Linked DNA regions of Xenopus tropicalis. The protein of the gene in region 1 binds, or shares a complex with, the protein of each later gene. Links are inferred from orthologs where the notes say so. Each region holds a gene or a part of one and is shown in the gene's direction. Other genes may lie near its edges. The genes, in order: sirt5 and prdx1.

What was found.
Region 2: the proteins of sirt5 (region 1) and prdx1 are in contact, whole or in part, in a crystal structure (PDB 8Z54), measured with the Homo sapiens proteins. The link is inferred for Xenopus tropicalis from reciprocal best matches to the Homo sapiens genes SIRT5 and PRDX1. Residues at the interface, in NP_001363727.1 of Homo sapiens: Ala86, Tyr102, Arg105, Gln140, Ile142, His158, Val220, Val221, Trp222, Phe223, Gly224, Glu225, Asn226, Leu227, Leu232, Val253, Val254, Tyr255, Pro256; in NP_001189360.1 of Homo sapiens: Phe195, Ser196, Lys197, Gln198.

What each region holds. Positions count from the first base shown.
Region 1 is NC_030682.2:91,779,521-91,788,703, forward strand, and holds the start of sirt5 (NAD-dependent protein deacylase sirtuin-5, mitochondrial precursor), read left to right. Parts: upstream 1-59; 5' UTR 60-115; exon of another isoform or gene 116-248; intron 249-6,191; 5' UTR 6,192-6,209; coding exon 6,210-6,321; intron 6,322-7,476; coding exon 7,477-7,610; intron 7,611-9,183. UniProt on the Homo sapiens protein: NAD-dependent lysine demalonylase, desuccinylase and deglutarylase that specifically removes malonyl, succinyl and glutaryl groups on target proteins.
Region 2 is NC_030680.2:90,368,002-90,377,664, forward strand, and holds the start of prdx1 (peroxiredoxin-1), read left to right. Parts: upstream 1-3,771; 5' UTR 3,772-3,794; exon of another isoform or gene 3,795-3,905; intron 3,906-9,663. UniProt on the Homo sapiens protein: Thiol-specific peroxidase that catalyzes the reduction of hydrogen peroxide and organic hydroperoxides to water and alcohols, respectively.

The sequences.
Region 1 (9,183 bases):
GACCTTGGCGTGTTTGGAGCGTCCGGGCAGCAGGTGGCGCTGTGGGCTCTGTGAGCTGCGTTCGCTGTTTGGTGTTAAGCCGAGAGCTGAAGGCCTGGCTCTGGCTGGACAGCAGGTAAAGAATTTGTTCAGTAGGATTTTCTACTATTACACGGCTGACACAGGGGTCTGGAGACAGACAAGAGGGGCTTCAACCAGACACTTCCTGGAAAATCGGAACTGCAGTTAAACTCCGCCCTTTCCTTGCAGTAGGTTTGCCCATGGTATCTTCCCATGTGTACAGTGTAGCTTGTGATTGTGTTTGCTGTTAAGTCTGTATGTGAGGGGGTGTTTTAATGTACGGGAAGCGCTTTGCAAAGAGTTAAAAATGCGTTGATGGCACCGAGCAGTGTGTGCTGCGCAGTGTGTTCCTAAGGGAAGTGATGGCAAGTGCGCTCGGTGTGCAGCTGGGGCGCTAGATAAATACATGTGTTGCGCAAACACGTGCTTCCTGGGGCTTTTCGGGGAGCGCTGTTTCCTCCTTAGTTTCCTTTTTGCCTGATGGTTTTACTTTTCATTGCTTTGAGATGCGGTTATGTCGGGGAACCTTAAGCTTCCACACTGAGAGTTTAGTGCTTAAGGCTGAATTTAGAATCTGCTAAAATATATTGTGCCTAATAAACGGTAAAAAAAAACTGCTGTAAAAACTAGCTAAAGCATTTCTATATGGAGGGGTGCCTGCACATTACATTATAGAAGTATAATTATCATGCTGTGTAAAAAATAGAGTAAAACATCACCGGTGATGTTGCTCATAGCAGCCAATCAGATGCTTTGCTTTGGTTTTCTAACTGTTGAAATCTAATTGCTGATTGGTTGCCCTGGGCAACATCACTGGTAATGCTTTACTCCACTTTTTACAAAGAATGATAAATATATCCCTAAGTTGCTTTAGATGCGGCGGCATAGCGCTCTGAATGAAAGTGCCCAGGCATAGACGATTTGTTTTTTTTTAAAGAAGAGGTGTGCACCCCCTGGGTATAAAGGTAGCCCTTCGAATTAGGCTCTTGTTCTCCATTAATTACACCCTCCCTGACCTAGCAAAACCCATTGAAATTAGGATAAATTTAGGCCGCAGCAGGTCTGGACTGGGATTAATTAAATGCCCTGGTATTTCTACTACACAGAGGCCCAAACAGCCCACCACCAGTCCAATAAATAGTCACTGTCTGGCATCTTTCTGGGCTGATTAAGGGGCTGGTTCACCTTTAAGTGAACTTTTAGTATGTTAAGGAATGTCCTATTCCTAGCAACTTTGCCATTGGTCTTCATTATTTCTGTGTTTGTAGTTATTCCTTTTCTCCTTTTTGCTTTCAGATGGGGGTCACTGACCCGGCAGACAAACTTTTGCTCTGTGATGCTACAATTTTATTGTTACTTTTCATTTCATTCTATTCCGTTTTTTGCTTATTCATATTCCAGTCTCTCATTCAAACCACAGCCTAGTTGGTTAGAGTAAATAAGAGCCTAGCTGCTGAAATTCCAAACTTGAGACCTGCTGAACAAAAAGTGAAATAACTGAAAAACCTTAAAAAATAAAAATTGTCTCAGAATATCAATCTCTATATCATACTAAAAGTTAAACTAAAGGTGAACTAAAAGGATTTTTATTTATTTGTTTAATGCATAATATTATGCCACAGTTTTACATTTGGTTACACATTCACATACAATCATTATGCAGCTTCATAACCACCTAAAATTTTTTTTTTTTTTTTACATATATATTTTTCCTTTTATTGTAATTTGGAATTTTTATACATAGAAATTAACAGATAACCAGGAGTTACACCTAATCAGCAGTAGAAAATGGTGATACTAGGTTATAAACTATACTCCACCCAAGTCGGGAGGGAGTTTATACTGTGTACCCATAGGGAAGAAAGGGGAAAGAAACCATCGGTCTCACGAAAGATCGTTCCAACCCCTCACTCAGGGCTGAATTGTTAGATATGGAGGTAGAAACAATAGGATTTCTACCTCCTTCTGCCAATTCAGCCCTGAACATAGATTTTGCTCGGGCGCCTTCAGTAAAGTTTCGTACGGTATCATCGGTGCGTGTATGGCCAGCTTAACAGGTGTGATAGGGCAATAGGAGGAGGACGATGTAAAATACAACATAAATAAGGCACGTTGGGAACAAGTAGTTTATTTCTATAAAGATATTAACGTTTGGGCATTTGCTTCCTGAGGATCCTTATCTATTGACATACTAAATTTGGCATGAACAATAATATATAGTCAATTATATTAGGTTTCTATGAAGAACAAGTCTCATAGATTGATGGCTGTGGCTTTAACCCCTGTATCAGTATCAGTAAATATTGTACCATGTTGTTCTATGGGTTGATCAAATGCCTCTTCCCATTTTTTAACATTTTGGCACCCCCAAGTGACTTTGCCTTTCTTTCTCCTTTAATCACTTAGATTTCTTTCTCCTCCTGTAACCCACTCGGCCCCCTCCCTCAGGAATTTGCTTTGGCTGTTGGCTTGTGGGCATGCTCAGTTGTTCTAAGCTCAGATTACTAAACACGCCCCCCAGTCTAGCAGCCAGTGAAGAGATGGCATTGCTGGTTCCCATAGAAACTCAGCTCTAGGTGTCTGCTTCAATTTTTTTCTCATGTAAATGGGATTTTTCTAAGAGCCTTAAGGAATTTGTTCCCAGAATCCCTTTTGACTTAATTTTTTTCTCCTGAGATCAGCTTTACCATTACAGTGCTCAAAGCAGAACTTTTATTAGAGACAGTTGTGCCTGTGTGAGCCTGTATTCTTGATGAAATGTATTCTGAATAAGGGTCTGCGTGTGTGTATGCTGTTTGCAGATTTAAATGTAACTGATAATGTATCAGAGGAAAAATGGCCACCGGGTGAAAGTTACTATTTGCTTTAAGAAAATGTGATGGTGCTGGCAAATGGAGGGGAATATATGCAGTACAAATAATGCCATTTGGATGGGGGAGACGTGCCCAACTGATATACATTGTAGGCAAATGTAGGCTTTACATGTCCTTTAAGTCCGCAAAACTAATGTAGGCATACCCCAGAAGGCTAGCCACTATATATGCAGAGGGAATAATTAAGCAACCAACAAAATGTCATCTTTTTTGTTAATAAATATTTTGTAAACTTTCTTAGTTAGGGTGCACACCAAAAACCTATGGGCATGGTTTAAAAAAAAAAGCAAAACGCATCAGGATTGTGAAATAAAGCTTCAAATGGAAACACGTCAGAATTGTGAAATAAAACTTTTTTAACCATGGCCATTGGTGTTTAGTGTGCGCGCCCATACAAGAAAGTTTGTCTGCGACTGTTGAGTGCCCCCCTAGCTACGGGTCTGGGGCACTGCACCCACACCACTGGATTAGCCTGGTGAGTTGCCATGAGAGCACCTGTTTTAATTAATTTTTGTATTGATAAATATCACTGCCCCCCCCCCCCCCCCCAAAGCGAGGGGTCCAGGGCAAGGCACCAAGACCAACTTAATAAAGTGGTGAGTGAGGTATTAATATCTGTAACACTAAGCTTATCTAATAGGGAAGTGGGGGGAGAGAGAATTTAATTTTAAAGGAGAAGAAAAAGGTAAAAACTAAGTAAGCTTTATCAGAATGGTCTATATATTTTGCACCTTCAAAGTGTTTGATGAGAATTCTTAAGAGACAAGGAAAGAACCCCAACCCATATTTTACCATAGAAGAATTATTAAATCCCCCTTGTAGAACGTTTTACTTTTACTGCCCCAAAATCTGTTTTGAACTTTCCATTCAGAGTTTGAGTTTGCTGCCTGGGATGTAGACGGCATGTTAGATCTAGCTACGTAACTGTTCCAGCTTTGCGCCCTCTGCGCATCTCGTTCCGCCATCTGACCATATTTGCCCGTGAATACAAGCACAAAGCCCAATACAGCTAATTTTTGAAAGGCAGAAGTGATTTCCTCCATCTTCTGGTGGAGTCTTGGAGATAAAAATGCAGCTAAAAAGGTACTGACTATATTTAAGGCAGTTGTAAGGATGGTTACATATCATATCTGTTCTTTAAAGCACATGTAAACCCCATAGACAAAAATTTAATTATTGAACAGCCTCTTTAAAATCTTTCAATTCCTGCCACACTGGCTGTCCAATAATAAGGCTGCAGCATCTCCATAATCACTTAGATTTCCTTCTCCTCCTGTAACCCACTCGGCCCCCTCCCTCAGAAATTTCCTTTGGATGTTGGCTCCTGGGCATGCTCAGTTTTTCTCAGCTCAGATTACTAAACACACCCCCTTGTCTAGCAGCCAATGAAGACATGGCATTGATGTTAGGAAACTCAGCTCCTAACCTCCTCTCCTGAGCTTAGTTTAACCATTACAGTGCTCAAACAAAGTAGAACTTTTATCAAAGACCGTTTTGCCTGTGTGAGCCTTGACCCTTGATGAACTTTATGCCACCATTTGGATGGTGGAGACCTGCCCAACTGATATACATTGTAGGCAAATATGTCTTTTAATTCCAAGTTTTTGGGGGGTATACTTATGTAGGGAACAGTATAAAGTTATAATATAAGCTCCTACTGGGATTATATGCTAGGGAAGGCTGCCAGTATAGGCATAGGTAATTGTGAACCAAACAGACTGGATTCATAGGGTAAAATATGTAGCTATTGAATGGGGATTCTAGTTTGTGGACCCTCATATTTAATTTAGTAGTTATATTCCTGGGGGTCTTCTGTGTTCTGCACTTTATCCACCTATAATTGCTCCTTCCTGCACAAATGATGAGAGGCATTGTGCAACGTCACCCAGGTAGTAATTTCTTTGCAGTAGGAATCTAGGGGCTGATTAGTAGCCAAAAGTAAATTTCATTAGCTTCTTTAAAAAAAGGGCAATTTTCTGTTTTGTTTATTTAAGGTAACAAAAATGCATTTTAAAAATCTTAGAATATCCTCTTTTATTTACTAGCATTTTTAAACCTTGGTGTACAACAGAATGTTGATAAAACTATTGCCAGGGTTGCTAAGTTGCAAACCATGAATCTAAATTTAGGCAAAAGCAAAATTTGGATTTATGGAAAAAGGTAAAGATTTTGGAAAGTTGTAAAAATCTGCACATTGGCCAACCTGTTTATGTTGGTGATAAATTTATGATTTCTGCAAGGAATTGCTTAGCTTGTTGGTTTTATTGCTCCCATCCTCAAGCCAGCTATGGAACTCGTAATATGCAGGACTACTAGTTGAAGCCTGTCCTCATCACTGATTAAGAAACTTCCTCAGAATGAAGGTGGATAATAAGCTTGTGATGCAGTTCAGCCAGATACCTAATGTTTGTGCCAGATGGCTTTATGGCAGTCAGGTTAGCCAGAGGGGAGTTCAGATGTCAGCACTTTTCAGATGCCTACGGTCCCCAGCTCACGTAGCAGTGTGTTCCAAGCTCCCACCCTGTCACTAGAGCACACCAGGTCTGACTCACAGCAAGCATTCATACTCTGCTGTGCACACAGTCTTACATAGACTTAACTGGCGCTTTGACCGTTCTCCTATTTGCTTCTGGTAAGATGCTAGAACTCATCATCCATCCTCTGACTGAGTCTTTGAAGTATAAATTTTGCTTTTAGCTTTTGTTTAATAAGGAGGCCTTTTTAGCAAGCATTATATATATAATATGTATCAGACTGTTTTACAGACGCTATAAAAAGGCTTCTCCACCTTCACTAAGTTTTGTGAAAGAAATTTATACTTTATCGGGTTATTAATTTAAAAACCTTTTTCTAAAATATATACAGTATAGATAATGGCAATGCAGCAGACATGTTCGCAAATCTCTATAAAGCATAATATGGGCAATTCCCCATGCATTTACATTGCATAAGGGAACATAATGGGGCAGATAAAAGCAATAATTAGTTTCTGAATTCTGATAACGAATTTGATTCCTATTTCATTTATATCATCTCTACTTGCTGTATTTGGCAACCAAATGTCTTTCCCTTGCCATTCTCAACAGACCCAGTTTTGCACTACAAGGAATAGTGTGTGCTAATATGCAGACAATAATGTGTTTTGTACTCTGTGTATATTTTCTGTTTCATTTGGCAGATAATTGTATTTTATTTAAAATGTACATTTTTGCTGCAAATTCCCACAGAAGGTGTCATCTTTCCAATTTTTTGTTTCAGTTATAATAATTTGGCCTAATGATTCTTCTTCCGTTCCACACCAGAAGACTGGTGAGCCACGTTTACTGTGGACTGAAACCAGCCTCCAAAAAAAAGGGTATAGCCCTGGAAATGGCACGCCCAAGTTCTAGTAAGTGGTGGGATACACAATTTAAGGGATTGGGGGGTAATTTATGCAGTTTTCTATTGTTTTGGTTGATCTACTATAAATTAGAGAATAAAAAGGCACGGTCTGATTGTTAGTGGCACTGGAATGCTGCCATTTAGACCCTACTGTATATAAACTTGCTTGGTGCTCAACTGAGAAATATAATTGGTGAGAAAGATAATTGGTGATGTGTGAACATAAGTGGTGAAAGCGTATTACCTAGAGATTAGGTTACTAATTTTTATAAGCGATAAAAGTCTATCCTGAGGCTAAAGGTCATGCACTGGCAGATTTAAGCTGATGATTCGGATCCTTCAGACAGACTCTGCAGCATTTCTATCCATGTATAGAGCCGCCCAACAGGCCTCAGGTGGGCATATTGGGGGAAAGACTCCAAATGGTTGCCAAACGAGTAAATCTCACCGTTTATGGCCACCTTCACTCTCAGCTCAGATAATAAAACTGTGTTTAATGACACACAGTTCAGTGAAGCTGATTTTAAACCAATCTGTGATAGCCCAGGCAATAGTAGCTGAATCACTGCTGTGTTAAAACTATATGTTAACCAACAGATAGTTTATATTATGTTAAGTGACCTATGAAAGAATCTTGCCAAACTTAAATATTATATATATCAGTAGATTTTGCCCTTTTACATCCTTTCCCTTGATCCACCATAGTGATGGGCTGTGTGGTCCCTCAGAGATCACATGAGCAGAAATAATGCAGCTCTAACTGTAACAGGAAGTACTGTGGAAGCAAAGACAGAACTCTGTCCATTCATTGGCTGATGTGGCCTAGCATTTATGTGTGCCTTGGCTTGTTTGTGTGCACTGTGAATCCTATACCAGGAAGAGGCCCTTAATTCTTAAAATGGCAATTTTTTTTTTTCAATAGTACTAAAAAAGTATATTTTTATGAAAATGGTTTATTTAGATGAAACAGGTTTTACATATGTTTATGCAGTATATTTTATAGAAACCTACATTGTTTGGGGGTATAGTTTTCCATTTAATCAGGCAGTTCGAAAAAAGAAGCAAAAATGTCATGTTAGTAAATGTGTCCCACCATCTCCCCATACCAGTTATACCCTTCCTAATTTAGTATTATATATTTTACTTTATATATCCTTTCAAGATCTGGCTGATTTCAGAGAAGCCTTTGCAAAAGCGAAGCACATCGCAGTTATTACAGGCGCAGGAGTCAGCGCAGAGAGTGGAGTGCCAACATTCAGAGGAGCTGGAGGATACTGGAGAAAATGGCAAGCACAGGTCTCAAGTTATTACATTATAATCAAATTAATTGCATAACCATGTTTAATTTATAACTTAGAAGTGGGTTTTTAACTTATGTATAAATACATAGACAATCTGAATCCTGCAAAGAAGGCTGGGATTCAATTGAATTTCGAACTGAATCTGGTTAATTCCCAGGCCCTGGGGCTAGTGCTCCGATTTGGAAAACTTCACCGTTTACCACGTTCCTCACTCACCCAAGGATCCCTCTGTGCCAATGTGTGCTTGCAGTAGAGTAAAAGACTGACCTTTGCACTGCACATGCACACCACGCCTGGGCCATACGAGGAAAAAGATGGCAACGAGGTGCACAGGGTTTTGGTGGTGCCTAATAATTGTTCCCCTCACTGATGATACTTTTTCTTTGCCTTTAAAGGAGATGTCAACGCTGACTTTAATATCAGGTCTAATGCCAAGGGCACCTTACCCCCACCTCAACCGTATAACTATCGCTCCCTCAACCTCTTCCTACAGCCTGCACCGCTGCATTAGTTTTTTCGCCGTTTCGCTTGTCATCAAGCGATCGGTATATGTACCAAATGCGCATGTGCGCATAGCCTCTCCTGCCTGTTTTTTTTTTTTTTTTTTTTAATAAGCTTTATTAAAAAACGCCACTGACGGATATCAGTTGCAAGGCAGAACATGCACACTCATTAGGGCTCTGGCACACGGGGGAGATTAGTCGCCCGCGATTAACTCCCTGTTCGCGGGCGACTAATCTCCCCGAGTTGCCTACCCCTGCCATCCCACCGGCGAACATGTAAGTCGCCGGCGGGATGGCAGACGCGGCGGCGCGATTTCGCGCAAATCGCAGAAAAAGCCTCGCGAGTCTTTTTCGGCGCATGTGCACCACGCCAGGCACACAAGGAGATTCTAAAGGGAGGGGGGAGAGGGAGAGGGAGTTAATGAGCTGTGCAGTGAGAGAAACTCCAAGGGATCGCTGCAGCTTCGCTGTTTGCTTTTGAGGGACCGGAGTGGCAGGTATTTAAAGAATGCTGTGAGGCTTTTCACTGCTAAAACTTTTCGTTAGGGGGTTGACATGTCCTTTATATGCATTAATGGAATCTTCCATCACAACATCAAGCTCACTGCCCATGTCTGAGACTTTTCATCTATGACTTAAAAGAGAAGGAAAGGCTAAGTCACTTGGGGGTGCCAAAATGTTAGGCACCCCCAAGTGACTTAAATCGCTTACCTTTTACCCCGGGCTGGTGCCCCAGTTAGGAGAGAACAGCACCAGCACGGGGTAGCAGCGAGCGCTTCCCTCTTCCTGTTTTGCGTGCGCGCGCATGCGCAGTAGAGTGAGAAGCCGAGCTTTAACAAGAAAGTCGGCTTTTCACTCTAATGCGCATGCGCCGGCCCAGGGGTTTCGCCGGCAGAAGAAAGAGGAAGAAGGAAGCACTCACTACAGGTACCCCAGGCTGGTGAGGTTTTCTCATAACAGGGGCACAAGGGCACATTTTGGCATTCCCAAGTGACTTAGCCTTTCCATCTCCTTTAACCAGAAAACTGAACTCTTGTTTCTCACACAGTAGAGTGCATGTATCTG
Region 2 (9,663 bases), on another chromosome or scaffold:
GACCTGCTAACTCACAACCCAACCTGGACTCGCCAACCCTCTATTACGCACCCCTGTTCACGCCATCTCACCCTACCCGCACTACTCAAACCTTCCACCTGACCCATGCTAACCGGAAGTGACACAATTGGTGGGCAGAAGTGAAGTCACGCTGGAGGCACATTAACCAGGTCAGGGAAAAAAAATGTTAACTTTGGGAGGTGGGAGAATGCGAAATTGCACCCTTTCCTTGTTGGGGATGCTGGACAAAAAATAGGCTTGTGCCACATAGTTTTACATTTCAGAACAAAAAGCAACAAACTTACTGTATATTTTCCTGTTGTTTTCTCCTCACATGACTTTGGACTTTCTATTACTTGATCCAACCTTGGTATGACCTTCTGTGGTGTAACCTGTTCTGCCTACCTTACACCCTACAAGTTTCTGACTAGTTTTTGCTAGTTTGGTTTCCTTTTTGTTGCCTAGATCCCAAGAGTTCTCTATGAACTTTAGAAAGATGCCTGTGAGTCGTGAAAGGGACTTAAAAAGAGCGCCAATCGTGTGGACATCAATTAATATAGAATATACAGTGGAGGAAATAATTATTTGACCCCTCACTGATTTTGTAAGTTTGTCCAATGACAAAGAAATGAAAAGTCTCAGAACAGTATAATTTCAATGGTAGGTTTATTTTAACAGTGGCAGATAGCACATCAAAAGGAAAATCGAAAAAATAACTTTAAATAAAAGATAGCAACTGATTTGCATTTCATTGAGTGAAATAAGTTTTTGAACCCCTACCAACAATTAAGAGTTCTGGCTCCCACAGAGTGGTTAGACACTTCTACTCAATTAGTCAACCTCATTAAGGACACCTGTCTTAACTAGTCACCTGTATAAAAGACACCTGTCCACAGAATCAATCAATCAAGCAGACTCCAAACTCTCCAACATGGGAAAGACCAAAGAGCTGTCCAAGGATGTCAGAGACAAAATTGTAGACCTGCACAAGGCTGGAATGGGCTACAAAACCATTAGCAAGAAGCTGGGAGAGAAGGTGACAACTGTTGGTGCGATTGTTCGAAAATGGAAGGAGCACAAAATGACCATCAATCGACCTCGCTCTGGGGCTCCACGCAAGATCTCACCTCGTGGGGTGTCAATGATTCTGAGAAAGGTGAAAAAGCATCCTAGAACTACACGGGAGGAGTTAGTTAATGACCTCAAATTAGCAGGAACCACAGTCACCAAGAAAACCATTGGAAACACATTACACCGCAATGGATTAAAATCCTGCAGGGCTCGCAAGGTCCCCCTGCTCAAGAAGGCACATGTGCAGGCCCGTCTGAAGTTTGCCAATGAACACCTGAATGATTCTGTGAGTGACTGGGAGAAGGTGCTGTGGTCTGATGAGACCAAAATAGAGCTCTTTGGCATTAACTCAACTCGCTGTGTTTGGAGGAAGAAAAATTCTGCCTATGACCCCCAAAACACCGTCCCCACCGTCAAGCATGGGGGTGGAAACATTTTGCTTTGGGGGTGTTTTTCTGCTAAGGGCACAGGACAACTTATTCGCATTAACGGGAAAATGGACGGAGCCATGTATCGTGAAATCCTGAACGACAACCTCCTTCCCTCTGCCAGGAAACTGAAAATGGGTCGTGGATGGGTGTTCCAGCACGACAATGACCCAAAACATACAACAAAGGAGTGGCTCAAGAAGAAGCACATTAAGGTCATGGAGTGGCCTAGTCAGTCTCCGGACCTTAATCCAATAGAAAACCTATGGAGGGAGCTCACGCTCAGAGTTGCACAGAGACAGCCTCGAAACCTTAGGGATTTAGAGATGATCTGCAAAGAGGAGTGGACCAACATTCCTCCTAAAATGTGCGCAAACTTGGTCATCAATTACAAGAAACGTTTGACCTCTGTGCTTGCAAACAAGGGTTTTTCCACTAAGTATTAAGTCTTTTTTTGTTAGAGGGTTCAAAAACTTATTTCACTCAATGAAATGCAAATCAGTTGCTATCTTTTATTTAAAGTTATTTTTTCGATTTTCCTTTTGATGTGCTATCTGCCACTGTTAAAATAAACCTACCATTGAAATTATACTGTTCTGAGACTTTTCATTTCTTTGTCATTGGACAAACTTACAAAATCAGTGAGGGGTCAAATAATTATTTCCTCCACTGTATTATCTGGAAGATAACCTACTAGTGTACAAAAACCTGCCAACTTGCCCAGGCAAGGCTGTCCTAGCAAGTTCAGTCCAAGAGCAAAACACAAGATGCAAAAAGACTTCTTTAAGAACCCCAGCATTTTATAACAAGACCTACAGATACCTCTCACCGTTACTGATGTCAAAGTGCACAAGTCTAACATTACAAATTAGATCCCAAATTTGATCTACAAGGGGGGGGGGGGGGGGTGTTAAGTGGAAAACTTTGCTGTCAAGAAAAAACATCTTTCCAAGACTAAAGGTTGCTCATGAAACACCTAGGCAAAAACCAGGATGTGTTTTGTACAGTCCAAGCAAAGTTATTTCACAACAGTACCAAAAGACTGCATTTTACTGCATTGACTGCATTTAATATCCCTGTTTATATTAATGTATTCTACTGTACAGCGCTGCGTACATAAGTAGCGCTTTATAAATAAAGTTATACATACATACATACTAGAACCAGATACGAACTGTGAAGTATTGTGGTGGGTACGGCCAGAACTAGAGGTAAGCAGAAGAGGCACATGCGTAGGGAGCAATGGTGGGGGGCGCTAGATACATGCGTAGGGAGCAATGGCGGGGGGCGCTAGATACATACAAATATTAGGCTGATGCCCTACAAAAGATCTCTGCTATCGTGGGTGACGAACTGCTCCAAAATGCCTTTCCACCAGCAACAATAGGTTGGCGGTAGAAAGCCCTTCACATTGCTTTGATTTTCTGAAGGTTTTCTTGCAGGTGGAAAGCCATTTTGGAGCGGTTAGTTGGCCGTGAAAGCAGAGATCTATTGTGGGCAACTGAATCGCTCCATGAGTCCTTAGCCTAAAGCAGTGGGTTCCAGTTCTGCTTCCTTTATAGTTACGCAACTGGTGCCAGGCGAGCTTGGCCCAGCTCTGGTGGTTTAAAGTTGTAGTTTGGTGCTGCTTTTCTGCATAATGGCCTGGGCTGATCTCCCAGGGTAGAAAATTGCACCCCTTCCCTGTTGGGGATGCTGGACAAAAACACTTTTTTACTTTGAGACTTAGCAGCTGCACCACTTCCCCCGCCATTCCTGGGCAGGCAGTGCACCACTGGAACCCCTGCTGTGCTTGGGCCCACTGTACCTGGCACAGCCTGCACAATTATTGGTATGATGCTTCCGTGTTTCTGATGGTGGCCCTAGAAGTAGCTAACAAGAAAGAGGCTTGAGGCATGTAGTGTTACATTTCAGCACAGAAAACAAGGAAACTTACTTTCAGACAGAAGCAACTGCAACTATTCTTCTTCACAAAAACACCAAAGTCTGCCCCAACCCGTTATACCTTTTTTTATTCACACCCTTTATATAGTTGCCTAAAGGTTCATTTGCTTCTAATTAGTGCGACGAGTAAAATAGACATGAGAATCTCCCCGGAGAAGGTGTGAAAGCCGCAAGTAACGAGGGGAGGGGATGAGGGGAAGGCAGAAGATGACAGGAGATGCTTCAGTAAGGAGAGGGGAGGGGAGGAGTGGAGCGGGCGGTGCTCGCCATATTTGCTGAATATAAAGCACTTACAAGGCTGTGCCGGTCTCCTCCTGCATTGCCTGATCTGCTTGGAACAGCCACAGCCATGTAAGTTACACATTCTGCCCGCGACATCTCCCTCCTAATCTTTAGCAGGGCCTCTCCATCGCTTCCGGCTGCTATTATTGTTGTGATGGGGGTGACGGGAGTTAAAGTTCTGTAAGTTGAAATCTGAAATATCAGCGCCTATCTGCTTCCTATTGTTCTCCCTATTGTGTTCCTACATTATCTTCTGCCATACTATAAAGCTCACAATGTAGCCCTGGAAACCCTGGTCACTAGTAGTAATGGGAGCACGACTCCTAGCATTGCGCATGCTGTAGTGAGTTGTAGTTCAGTAACAGATGGGGCATTCTTGCGTAATAACCCGGTGGGGGCTTTTGGTGGGATTATACTGAAAAGCCTTGAACTTGGGTTGAGCGCGGTTTGGGGCCCGGTTTAGAATGAATGACACCATCACTAGTTCTTCTGCACCTGCATCATTCTTGTGATTTCTTCTTGGGGGTTATATCCCATAGTTCCGTGCCGCCTCTGACAGAGCTCCCATTGTTACACAGAGCACTCCCTGCCGCCAGCTTCCTCTGCGTATGCGTGACAACTTCTAACCTCTGCAATGTCTGGCTTCCCTAGCTTTCTCTCTGTCCGGGCTTCCCTGCAGCCTAGTGATTTGCTTCTTTCTAAAAGGAAAAGTGACGAGTGCTGCAGAACATGTGAGGCTGGAGGGTGTGGGATATCCCTGCCTCAGCGGGATGACTAGTTATTCAGGGTTCTGCCCGACGTGAAACCTTTCCACCACCCATAACAGCTCAGGAACACTAGTAGAGGCACGTACTGTATGAGGGTTCCCGCCTAGCTACTTTTTTTTTTACCAGGCCAACAAAAATGATGCTTTGTCAGTGCTTTCAATAGTAGCTAGGGTGGCAGTGGTAGGAAGGTTAGTGTTCTTTAGCAGAAAAAGGGGTTAAAGGAACAGTAACACCAAAAAATGAAAGTGTTTTAAAGTAGTTGAAATATAACATACTGTTGCCCTGCACTGGTAAAACTGGGGTGTTTGCTTCAGGAACACTACTATAGTTTATATAAATAAGCTGCTGTGTAGCCATGGGGGCAGCCATTCAAGCTGGAAAAAAGGAGAAAAGGCACAGGTTACATAGCAAATAACAGATAAGACACCATTGTATTCTACTGGGTTTATCTATTATCTGCTATATAACATGTGCCTTTTCTTCTTTTGAATGGCTGCCCCCATGGCTACACACCAGGGTTTATATAAACTATAGTAATGTTTCTGAAGCAAACATACAATTTTTACCAGTGCAGGGCAGCAATACATTATAGTTTAATTTCTTTAAAATATATACATTTTTTACTGTTCCTTTTAAGATCTGCTTTTAACATTTCCATGCGTTGTTCTATGGCTGAAAGTGGAAGATGGTGGCCTGTATCTACAATGGTTTAAAAGGATTTGTCAAACTCACCACGTGTAAACAGGTATCCAGGCTTGGTTGTGCATACCCTTTAAGAGTGAGTTTAATATAGCATCTCTGGGTGGGGTGGGGGTATAATTTTCCTGGCGTGAGTAAAAAGAAATGATTTTTGGTTATGTTTCGCTGACTTGTCACTTCCCCTTTCCATATGAGTCTGGGGATGTTGAGGAAGAAATCTTGCGAAATGAATAAGAGCCATTGGCAATGTAGACTTCAGATTTGAAAAGAGAGAATTTCTTTTTAGGAATACATAGGATATAGAGCTATTTTGATACCTGCACTAGTCACTACGTTTGTGCATGTGGCACAGCCAACATGTTTGTCACACAGCAGCCACAATTCATAGCAGATATAATTGCCTTATTGCCCATAACATGAAATGCTGCACAGGACAGTGAAAAAAAGAAACATGCAGAATGTTCCTCTGAATGAACTGCCAAAATGCTTTATTTACTCCTCTAGAGCCTCGGGCATATCATACAATCAAGTGTATTTAAAATGCCACTTGTAAGGTCAATATGTGTGCCAGGTATCGAGACAGGTGATCTGGTAGAAGCTTCTCAAGGAACTGACACAACAGGTCATTTGCAAGCAGGTTTAACCCTGCGTGTTTATTAGCCCCTTCATCAGACATGATCTGATCATGATCAGACATTTTACAGGTTGTGTGTAATCAGAAACGGTGCTGTAGTTAACCATCAGCCCATATTCACCATCCAATGAACTTGAACCTGAACGTCGGCGGCTTTAGTTAGCTGCAGCACATTACTTTCTTGGCACTTTCTTTGTACAATTTCTTTCTACATTTCCCTGGTAAGTTAAAAAGGCAGGTTCTTAATCACGTACTGTATATGTTTTCTGTGCAAGACAGCTGGAGCAGCTGCTGATTCTGGCATCCTCACAAGTGTACCTTGAAATCAAACCATGGACTTCTGAATATGAATACATGTGTTCCATCTCTTGCTGTCAGACCCATGCTGCAGCCAACCCTCATATTGGGCTGATGCGGTGTGCTGAATTGCTCAGACCAAAAGCTTGATTCAGGTTATATGTACAAGTTGTTCTAACTGCACTTGCACAAAAAGTGATGCCTTATTTTTGTAAACTACACACACTCTTACATAAAATAGCTGGTGCTTTACAGATAAGTCCTTTTCCTGAGAATAATGTGACCAATTTCTTCCTGTTATTAAAAAAACCTTCCATGCTCTATGACATGTTTGTAAATGTTTGTTCATGGTATCTATGAAACAGAATATGAATCACAAGAGATCAACTGCAAGATATTGACCCTCAGTCAGGAAAAGGCCGAGATGCTGTGTAGAATTCTGTTGAATCTACAGATTTTCAGCAGAGCATACCTTTATGTGATAATATAAAAAGCTGCCCAGGGCTGCACAAGGCGGTGTAATAATGGTACCCAAAGTAAGCAATGTTGGAGATTGCATTGATGGCACTCATTTGGCTAAAATCAGCTGATGGGGTTTGATCTGCCTGTCTGCTGTGTGTGGGTAACTATTGGCCTCTGCTGTTACCTGTATACATTTAAATGAGACATATCATATAAAAATTATGAATGTACCAGTGAATTATACTCCTCTAGCTATAGAAGGATTGTGCTTAAAAAAGTTGTGTTTCAGACTGATTGTCTGACTGATTGACTGTAGTTCTATTATGGTTCTAGTCTTTATATTTCATTAGTAAAGCTTTCATTTTATTACTGTTACACAGTGCTCCAGAAGATTTATAGTGTGCAAAAGTGAAATGATTAGTAGTGCCACATTGGAATCTGCATTAAGTAATTGCCTGTCCAAGGACCCCCACAACCTTAATAGCCCCTTTGAAACAGAGCACAATAAGATTTCAGCTGGGGCACTAGTTTCTAAAGTAAAGGTGCTCTAATATCCTGTGTTCTATGCATAGCATTGTATTCTGTTTATACTGGCTTTGTTTCTTGAGTAGAGTGTTTATTTCTGACGAGTACCAAGGTGATTTAAACTACTCAGGGAGGAGTGGTTGTTATTCTATCTAGAATGTACCTGAACAGCAGGAGATACATCCTTAGTACTACTCTGTGGGGATGCTCCACTTTCGCCACCTTGTAACACAAAGGGGGAGTAACCGCTATCATAAAGATCCTCTAAACCAGGGCTGTCCAACTGGCAGCACGCGGGCCTGTATTGTTTTTACATGTAATCCCCTGTACTGTTCACATTTTTTAGTGCCTGTTTTGTTCACACCTCAGGCTCAGATGGCACACACAGGCAGGGTAGGGCAGGCAGAGTATGGCACACACAGGTAGCATTGGGCAGGCGTACCATACTCTGCCTGCCCTACCCTGTCTATGTGCGCCGTACCCTGCCTGTGTAAGCCATACTCTGCCTGCCCTATACTGTCTGTGTGTGCCAAACTGCTTGCTCTATACTGCCTGTGTGTGCCTTACTCTGCCTGCCCTATACTGCCTGTGTGTGCCTTACTCTGCCTGCCCTATACTGCCTGTGTGTGCCAAACTCTACCTGCCCTATACTGCCTGTGTGTGCTATACTTTGCCTGCCTAATGCTGCCTGTGGGAGATGAACCTGGCAGGGGTTTGTTCTGGGAGTTTGTTAGCAGTTGGAAATAGTCCTTGTATGGTCCTTAAGGTGTGTAATTATGTGCTGTGGGTTGCTGTGCTATCCACAGGGGAGGAGGCATATGGAATTAAGCATATGTCTTAATGACATAATATAATTCTTTCACATAAGAATGAAGGGTGAAATCCCTACAGTGAGCACCAATCATTTGGGTTTTTGCTGCACTACCACCATTAATGTGTAATGGGTATTGTCTTAAATGCTCTTGTGATAACATGGGTGTGGTTTGAAGTGGGTGCATTTTAAAAAAGGGGAGTGGTCAAAACTGGGTTCCATTATCAGCCCTCCACCATGTAGGCCAGAAAAATTCCGTCCCTTGGTACTACAGAAGTTGGACAGCACTGCTCTAATCTAATGCACACTTGTATCTGTTTCACAAATAGTGTATAATTTTTGTTTTAGTCCCATGGACAGATTTAGTCACCTGTGACAGGCGACTAATCATTTGATTATGCATCGGTTCGGTTGCACAAAGTTGATGGTGGAAAGGCATTTTGGAGAGATTAGTTGCCTGCGTAGCAGAAATCTCTGCATGGGACATAAGCCTAAAACATTGATGATACAATTTTTTTTCTATTGCAGGTGACTAAATCTCTCCAGAGTACATCAGCCTTACACTTGTAACGTTAGGTGAATAGGCAAATTTCTCAACCCAAAACTTTTCAGCTGCAGCTATCTCAGTTACTGACAGATTCTACCTTGCAGTCTACTGATAAACGGCATGGTTGGGTTGTTTTCAATAGGAAAAAAAATGGACTGAGAGAGATATTTATATTGTAATTCATAAGGCTGATGGCACACTATTGGTTTCTCCGCCAGACAGAGGATAGCTATGAAGGAAATAAATTTATAATTGACTGCATTGTGAAATAGCATTGTGGGAGAGGCAGGCGCCTCAGGAATTACAACCTAGAAATTCCTCCACAATCTCTTTTGCAGTTGCACAAAGTACAGGTTTTATTAGCCTAATAACACACCTAAGTAATAAGTTAGCAATCAGTAAAGTAAAAATTGCAGTGTTCTTTTAATTCTGGTCTATTTTGACCTGCTTTGTACATCCTTTGTTGTTTGAACTTAAGTAATGACACTTTGCAAAGATGAAAGGCCATTTTAGTGCAAAATGTACACTAAATAAATAAAGGAAATAATTATCTGAGGCTTTTAAAAGCTTGCTTAAATCTGCATAGGAACAATTAAAAAAAAAAAAAAAAAAAGCCTGCTTGTAAAGAGCCCTAAATATGTCAGTCTATGTGGCATTCATCTTTTCTGTTTCCAAATAATTTTGTTCGGTAAGGTACATGCTGAAATGTTTAGAATACTGTGGCCCTTGAATTAGTTTCAAGTTTCAGTTTCAAGTTTTATTGTCATATACAAATAACAATTAAGGAACAGTACTTTGCTTGTTTCTTTATTGAACTGTAGTACAGGTATGGGATCCCTTATCCGGAAACCCGTTATCCAGAAAGCTCCGAATTACGGAAAGCCTGTCTCCCATAGACTCCATTTTAATCAAATAATTCAGAAAACTGATTTCCTTTTTCTCTGTAGAAATAAAACAGTACCTTGTACTTGATCACAACTAAGATATAAATAATCCTTATTGAATGCAAAACAATCCTATTGGGTTTAATTTTTTATTGATTTTTTTAGTAGACTTAAGGTATGGAGATCCAAATTACAGAAAGACCCCTTATCCGGAATACCCTTGGTCCCGAGCATTCTGGATAACGGGTCCTATACCTGTACATGGCCAGGGAAGTAAGAACCATTACAACATTTTTTAAAACAATGGGTGAA